Mus musculus: one gene and its partner. The protein of the gene in region 2 purifies or fractionates together with the protein of the main gene of each other region. This does not show direct contact. Links are inferred from orthologs where the notes say so. Each region holds a gene or a part of one and is shown on either strand. Other genes may lie near its edges.

What was found.
Region 1: the proteins of Cep97 (region 2) and Sugt1 purify together in Homo sapiens (affinity purification with mass spectrometry; 3 studies listed by BioGRID and IntAct, with this or other methods). This does not show direct contact. The link is inferred for Mus musculus from reciprocal best matches to the Homo sapiens genes CEP97 and SUGT1.

What each region holds. Positions count from the first base shown.
Region 1 is NC_000080.6:79,585,927-79,590,531, reverse strand, and holds the start of Sugt1 (protein SGT1 homolog), read right to left. Parts: upstream 2,873-4,605; 5' UTR 2,704-2,872; coding exon 2,666-2,703; intron 2,579-2,665; coding exon 2,521-2,578; intron 1-2,520. UniProt on the Homo sapiens protein: May play a role in ubiquitination and subsequent proteasomal degradation of target proteins.
Region 2 is NC_000082.6:55,903,849-55,907,659, reverse strand, and holds part of Cep97 (centrosomal protein of 97 kDa), read left to right. Parts: intron 1-1,790; coding exon 1,791-2,492; 3' UTR 2,493-3,811. UniProt on the Homo sapiens protein: Acts as a key negative regulator of ciliogenesis in collaboration with CCP110 by capping the mother centriole thereby preventing cilia formation. Required for recruitment of CCP110 to the centrosome.

The DNA of each region.
Region 1 (4,605 bases), on a different chromosome or scaffold from region 2:
CCTACCTTCACCTAGCTGGGGTCTAAGCACAGAAGCATTGCTTAGAGAAGAATGTCAGCACTGATTGCCACCACATGTTTACCAATCTCAAACTGCTCTCAACCAAGTGGCTTCCAAGTCAGCTCCTAGTTGGTGTATCACATAGCCCAGGTTCTCTCCCTGCCAGATGACCTTAATCCCTTGAAACTAGAAACCTGTTGCTTCCAAGCCTCTTTGTTTTGATCAAGTTAACCTTTTTACTCTGTACTTCAACTCCCTACTGAGTAAAAATGTAGCTTATGCCAATGAAGAGGGTTGCAAGAATCATGCAGGAGGAGTCCCAAGTGCTATACTGAGAACACAGCAGAAAGGAATCAAGATACACAAAACCCCCTGCTGTCTTGAGGCTATTTATTTTCAGACCTAATTTAGACAGAAAAACTAGCTCCCCTCAGCAGGAACCATTTCGGGCGAAACCTAAAGAATTCGGCATCGCCGAGTAAAATGAGATAAAGGTCAAGTGTATGTGGAGCAAAAGCAGATGCACCTCAAACAGTGTAGCTCTACAAAAAGAAAAAGAGTTCCAAGATATCCACTGCACCAGGCACCCTGATGGGCATTGGAAAGAAATTGTTTGGACCTTCATTTCGAGGGAAGGACATGGAAAGTTCTAGTAGGAGAGTGACATGATCCAACTGTCATGCTGGCTACTGTACCATGAACAGAGTAAAACCAAGCAGGACCAGAAACAATGTCAGTCGTCGTCCCCAACCCCACCCCACCCCCAAGCCCGCCAAGAAATCCCTTTCCCCAGTCTGAAATAGTTCCTATGTGCTAAGTTTTCCCCTCATCTCTGGCAAAAGGGATACATTAACATATCTCTGTGGTTCTCATTGGCGTGTCAAGGTCAATGGTAGCCTCCACACTTCCTTATTCCATACTCACAAGTCCCCCACCCCCTAACCCAGCCCACAGGCCCAGGTATGGCTTCCATATAACCCAGAAGATCTTACACACACACACACACACACACACACACACACACACACACGTATACCCCCCTACATCCCCCCACCCCGCATCTTGCTGCTCTCCTCAGAGACAGCCTTGGCAGTTTAAAATAAACTTCTTACCCTTGTACCCATGCTTCATTGGTACCCATTTTCATTCAAATAGAAGAAACTAGTAAAGTCCAGAATGTGAGGTAGCCAAGGGGCTGTAGAGAATTGCATGGAACACATTAGAAGGGGCAGCATCTGCCAATTATTAGGGCTTTGGGGGCAGCCTAGATCTGTAGCCAGCACTCAATAACCTTTTAATAATTATTCATTTCCTTCTCCTTTTTCAGTCCTTCCCCCTACTCTCAATTCGGGTTTTAATTTCCTTTGGCAGAAAATATAAAGATACTTGCGTCTGTAGCCCTAATCTCAAAGTCACTAATGCCTTGATTTTTGTTGTTTTGTTTCTTTTGAGACAGGGTTTCTCTGTGTAATTCTGGCCATACTGGAACTCTCATGGTAGACCAGGTGGGCCTCAAACTCAAGAGATCCACCTGCTTCTGCCGCCCAAGCACTGGGATTAAAGGTGTGCGCCAACACCAGCAGGCTCTCTAATACCGCGCTATCAAACCTCATGATCACTCTGTAGACCTAAGAATACAAAGCGGAGCTTGTAACATTAAAACAACAATGTAGCTATCCTAGTCTGCTAGTCTCTACAAAAGTGATTTCTCTAAGGCTCAAAACATAAAAATGTTTCCTTTTTTCCAGCGGGGGAGCTCTGAAGTGTCGGGAAGAATTTCACACATCCCAGGCTAGCCTCAACTCACAAAGTAGCTGAGGATGACCTTGAATTTCTGACCCTAGGGCATTCACCGCCTGAGTACCAGGATTACAGGCCTGTACCACCATACTTGACATGTGCCGATAACTCTCTGGAGTCCAGCCAGCGCTCCTAAGAAACATCCGTACAAAGCTAGTTTGTTCTAGACTTCACCTGAAATGGCCCAAAAGCAAATCATATAATACTAAAATGTAGGCAGGGTTTATTTACTGATACATCCCAAGAACTCGCAGGATCCAAAGTTTAAGGCCAGCCTAGATAAAAAGCGCGGTTTTATAAACAACTGTATAAAGAACAACCACAGTCATCTGTAAAGTGGAAGGCACAGAGGGAAAATGTTCTTTAGTAAATTTAATTAAGGACACTTAACAGTACCTGACATATAAGGGCAAACATAACTGTTAAAGTAAAAAATTGATACATCAAGCCCTATTTTCGCCTTTTCCTTGATCATAAATGCCATTATAAGTGCAACCACAGACAGTAACTATGTTTCCAAGAAATAAATGGGAGGGAGGTGCCCTCATCGGGAGCTTGTGGAGAGGAAGGGCAAGATCTATGGCAAAGGTATTAAGGAGACAAAGAGATTAAGTATCTTAATTTTGGGACTTAGATACATTGTAGCTTTGCTCCCACGAAGGTAATGCCGGGAAGAGGAGGGGTCTGTAGGGACCCAACAGTCCCAGTGAGCTCACTCACCTCTAATGCTGCCTGGGGATCCCCGTCGATCAGAGCATCTGAGAAGCTCTGGAAAAGCCTGCCAAGAAAACAACGACTTCAGCAGGTCTCTCTAATCAAGGAAAGAATAGAAAGACAAACAGCAAAGGTGAAGAAAATCACGCACCGCTGGGACGATGCAGGTCCTGCTGCAGCTGCCGCCATCCCTAGGAGTCAAGAAAGCTTCTGCCTGAGCGTTTCTACCTTGGTTACCAGCTCCGCCGCCGCCCAGGAAGGGAAAACTTCTAAAGAAACCCCAACTGAGCTTCCGTCCTCCGTAGCCAATCAGCGGTCGCGCAGCATGCAGCCGCGGAAAAGGAGGCGAAGGGTGGGCAGGTAGGCGCGGGGCCGGCTGGGAAAGAGGAGGAAACGCTCTCCGGCCCCGCCCCTACCCGTGACGCAGCCAAGCCCCCGCCCCGAGGGCGTGGCCGTGAGTCCCGCGCCCCGCCGTACGCCCGTGGGGGATCCGGCATGGCTTGTAAGCTTTGAAATATTGTCTCGGAGCCCACTGTAAGGTACTGGGGATCCGTCGGGAGGTAGTTCTGGCTTCGCTAAGGAGTGTCACGTTAAGCTCCGTTTACTCCGGTTTTCATCATGGCTACCGCCGGCGGCCAAGTTGTGCGTGACGTCACTCGTGGCAGCCAGGTCTTTTCCGGCAGCAGAGCCCGGGATGGCGCATCAGTTCGCATGACTCTCTCCGTGGAGAACCCGGACGGCCTGGCTCGCCGGAAGTCACGTTACCGGCATGGAGGACGGAGTTTTCCGGAGGGCCTGCCAGATGCCAGAGCTCCACACCCCAAGCTTCCTTCCTAAGTCGGCTTTCCAAACCAAGAAAAGCCTGTTTCACAAGCACCGCGTGGATGAAAGTGACCTATAGCTAATGGTCTTATTGCTGCTTTGTGTTCTAAGTAACCAGTAAGCCCCCCGTCCCCCGCCGTCCTTAGAGCCAAACATCACACTAGGAAGTTTCCTGCGAATTCTTTGAAACTGAGTGGTAAGGGGCAACAGGAGGGAGTGGCAGTTATAGGTTCACCAAACTTGATTTAAAAGCTCTTGATAACGCTCAGTAACTCGTTTTACCAAGTCTGTTTTAGTAGGTGAAATGATTGAAGTGGTCGTTGGCTTCCTCAAACAAGATATATATAAGACCTCAGTCTGGAAACATGACAGTCCACGAAGAAAAAGAAATTACAGTTCAGGCATTTGTGTACATATCCCCACTGTTAAACTCGCCCACTTTTCTGAGTTCTAACTTTAAAAGACCTAAGTTTTGTCTTCCCCACTTTTCTAGCACGTTTTCCATACTGGCCAAACGCCTAGTTGTGCTTGCTAGCTATCGTGGGTATTATAATTTTTTGTTACAACCTCAACCTACCAATCAATCACCCCTTGCAGATGCAAAAAATAACGGTGGGAGGACGTTTGAAAATACAGAGAAACTTGAGCCCATATTCAAGATGGAGAAACGGAGGTTACAAAGATTTAAGTATGTATGGGGTCATCAAGAGATGGAAGTGTGGAATACTACAAAGTTTAAAGTGTAACACATTTGCCACCTGTAGGTATATCCCATCTGTATTGTAAATGGGTTGTTTGAAGGGGGGGGGGGGTCGAGCCGGGGCGGGGAAGGGCTGATAGAAGATAACAGGTCCCAGAAAGGAATCTGAATCCACTTGTGGGAAAGGAGAAGTAGGTGGGAGAGACACTTGAGGCAGACCAGGGCCAGCTGGCCACTAAACTCAAAGAGGTGCAGGTTTCAGGTTTTAGTAAGTACTGAGAAGATCAAATTAGCTCAACTAAACTGAAGCTAAGCAGATCTGTAAGGGAAGGTAGAGAGCATCGTTTTGGATCTTTCCATTCAAGGTTGTTTTCCGTTTCTGTGAACCCTGCAGAAACTAGACTGTAAAAGAACAGATGCATAACGATGAGGAGTGTCTTCTGCATAATGTCTTTAAAGGAAATGTTAGTTTTGTTCCGTTTGCAGTTCTTTGCATGGCTGGGTGTGACTTCCTTCTTGGATGCATTTATTGCAGACACCTTGTGCCAGTTGGCATCTCTTAATATCGT
Region 2 (3,811 bases):
TAGTTTTATGGTTGTGGGTCACCACAACAGGAGCAACTGTATGAAAGGGCATTAGGAAGGTGGAGCAGCACTGTTTTCAGAGCTCTCTGAGGGCCAGTGAGCTAGTTCACTGGACGAAGCTGTAGGCCATCAAGCTAGCCAAGCTGAGTTTGGACCCTGGGACCACGTGATGAGAGGCAAGGACCAGCTCCTGCAGGCTGTATGTGCCCCCCTCCAGAACTAAAGAAAAATTAAAAATTGAAAATATGTATGAAAACTATACATGTTTGAAAATACATAGAAAAAAATTCTGAAAAGATACATTTTAGACTACTATCAGAAAGTACCTCAATGGCACAGAGCTGTATAGTGAGAACCTGCCTCAAAAAAAGACAAGAAATTCCCCTGGAGAGTAGTCAAAGTGAAACTAAAACTTCTCTATTTGGCTTTCTCCTCTCCCCAGCTATCTTTATCTACTTCATTTTATTTTATCTTACTCTATTTTTGAGATAGGTTCTCATGTGGTCGAGGCTAGCCACACACTCACTCTAGCTAAGGGTGACCTTGAACTCCTGATCCTCCTGCCTGCATCCCCCAAGTGGTGGGATTACAGGTGTGCCCCATTACAACTGATTTGTGTAGTGCTGGGGTTTGAAACCAGCACCTCGTGTATGCTAGGCAAGCACTATACCAGCTGCAATTAAAAAAATAAACATTTCTGTGTATGGGTGTTTTGCCGGAGTGTATGCATGTGACCTATGTGTGTACGGTGCCCTTGGGGCCACAGGTGAGTGTGGAAGCCTCACACCTGGAGATGTGTACCGTTGTGACCTGCTGTGTGGGTGTACCGTTGTGACCTGCTGTGTGGGTGTACCTTTGTGACCTGCTGTGTGGGTGTACCGTTGTGACCTGCTGTGTGGGTGTACCGTTGTGACCTGCTGTGTGGGTGTACCGTTGTGACCTGCTGTGTGGGTGTACCGTTGTGACCTGCTGTGTGGGTGTACCGTTGTGACCTGCTGTGTGGGTGTACCGTTGTGACCTGCGTGGGTGTTGGGAACTGCTCTCCTACAGTCAAGAATAGCTTGTCTTTTTAACTACTGAGCCCTTTCCCACCCTTGCCTTTTTGTTGTTGCTGTTTTTGTTTGCTTGTTTGGTTTGCTTTGTGAGACAGGGTTTCTCTGTGTAGATCTGGCTGTCCTGGAACTCACTCTGAAGACCAGGCTGACCTCAAGCTCTCGAAGATCTGCCTGCTTCTGCCTCCCAAGTGCTGGGATGAAAGGCGTGTGCCACCACCGCTCAGCTTGCAATTTTTATAGTAAAAAATTGAAATTATTTTTATAACTTTAAAATATTAAGGGCCATATTGTCAAGAACTTGGGGTATTTTTAGTCATTTTAGAAAGTTATAAATACTACATTTTAAAATAACTGGAAACCCCATGTCTGCATCTATATCTAAAATAGACTCATTTTAGAAGATGCACTTAGACTCAGAGGTGCTAATCGGCCCTTATCGACTAGATGTTGTCTATATTTTGCACATTATCGATCCGTTAGTGAGAAAGATGCTGTCGTATTTCTCCCGTGAAGCAGGAGAACTGCTATGGCCTTCCTCTCGTGCTGGGGGTTACGCTTTGCTGCCAAGGACATAAAACACTGTGCCTGCCCAGTTAGGCTGGGGTCAGCCCTGTGAAGGGATTAGACGGGTAATGAATGCAGGCAACTGCAGGACTTCTGTGGGGGAAAAGCTCTGGACATTTAAAAAAGACAGGCTGTTTACTTTCTACTAAAACTGTGTGTCCTGGTTTCCAGGTAAGATCTGTACAAGCTTGGCAGCAGACAGTGGAACAGCGTCTGGCTTCCTGGCCGCCCGACGTGCCTCCTATATCAAGTACTCTGGCGTCACCCAAGCCCCCGTTATTTCCACATCATCAGGACCCCTCTTCGGATCAGAGTTCGGACTGGCTCGTTGCTGAGGACGAAGCTGCGCAAGGGAGATCAGCGCCAGACTTTCCCGACTCTGGGTTTCACTCCTCCCTGACAGAGCAAGTTCCCTGTCTGCAGGATTCGTTGGATTTTGAAAAGAGTTCGGTAGAAAGCAGCGAAAACTCCGTGTTGGGGAATTCCGCTGACACGGTGAAATGCGTCAAAGACCGAGACTCGGAGGCCACAGCCGAGGAGCACAGTGACTGCAGTAGGGAGAGCTCAGCCAGTGAGCAGGACAACACTCTGCTCCAACAGTATTTAACCTCCGTCCAGCAGCTGGACGATGCCGCAGAGGCGGCCGATTCTGACGATGTGGCAGGAGACGGTAAGCGTCACCTCGCTTGTTCTCCGGAAAGGTTTGACGCCTCCTCTGACAGTGAGACTCATAGAGTGGCCTCTACTTCACAGGATGAAATTAGCCAGACGCCAGAGAATTGTCAGTTAAACGAAGAAGCCCAAGGGCAGCCTCCGGAGTGTGACCCTGCCTTTCAGGGGTTGCATGTGGGTGTCACTGTGCAGCCTGTCTGATTTACTGGGGAGCAGAAATTCAATTCGATTTTCTTATGTTTTCAAGTGTCTCTTTTGCAGGGGAGCAACCCTTTCCCCCATTTTGTTATTATTTATATACAACTTGTTTCCTTGTCCCACACTTTTTAGATATTAGCTACTGAACTACGTCTTCATTTTCATTGTACTACTGTACTAAACAATATTGATATTAAAAGGCATATGCACTTTATTTCTTAATAATTACACCAATAATGTTTCCTTTACATCCGTACTGCCTTTCAGGAACAGTTCCTTGCAGTAGTTTTGGTGATTTAAGTAGGAGAACTTGGCTCTTGTTAGTCACATGGTAAGGGATGGAATATGTAAGGCACGGCTAGGGTGAGGACTATGGAAAAGTGAAATTTCCCAGGCAGTCTCCTTGGCCTAAAACTGTGGCTTTCCACCCTTTGTGTTAAGGAAAGCCTTCTTGTATAAGAACACTTAGGGAGAATAAGGTTTAGTGTGTGTGTGTGTGTGTGTGTGTGTGTGTGTGTGTGCGCGCGCGTGCCTTATGTGTGCGTGCTGGCATTTAAAAGTCTGAGCCTGGAGAATGGTCAGCATGTGCCCGGCCATTGAGCTGCTCACCTAACTCCCAGATCGTAAGACTTTTAAGTGGGTGATTAAATTGCCTCATGACAAACATTAGCTAATTTGTGGATCAGTTTTGAAGTAAGGTATTCCATCAGGATTAAAATCAAGCTTGCTCGGGCAAGTATCTTTCTCTTTGCTATGGAGAAAGGAGACATAGAGTTAGTCACTTGGAACCATGCTGTTCAAATGCCTCTTTTCATTATGTACTCTTTTAGGCTGTTGACATTTATGTGCCAATACTTTGGGGAAGAAGTAGATCGTAAGAAATCAATATGTATTCATCATTATGGTCTTGCTTTTATTTCTATATATACTTCACCAGAAGAGCCAAAGCTACACTTCACAGTGTGTGTGTGTGTGTCTGTGGACCACAGGAGTTACAGCCCTGTGCATGCCCCATGGAGCTGTGTCTCAGTCCTTATTTCACTCGTGACCTTTGTCCCTTAGTGAAGAACGTTTAAAATCCTGATAGACTGCAAATGTTGTTTTTTTCCTGAAGAATTTTTTTTATCTAATCTCTGAAAAGTGCCATATTCGAAGGACAATGTACTGGTGACTAAGAAAAGATAAATCCAGCTGGGCTTGGTGGCGCATGCCTTTAATCCCAGTGCTTGGGAAGCAGAAACAGGCAGCTCCCATGAGTTCAAGGACAACCTGGTTAAAAGTAGGTGCTAATATCATCCATTATTCTATTAAAGCCATTAGAG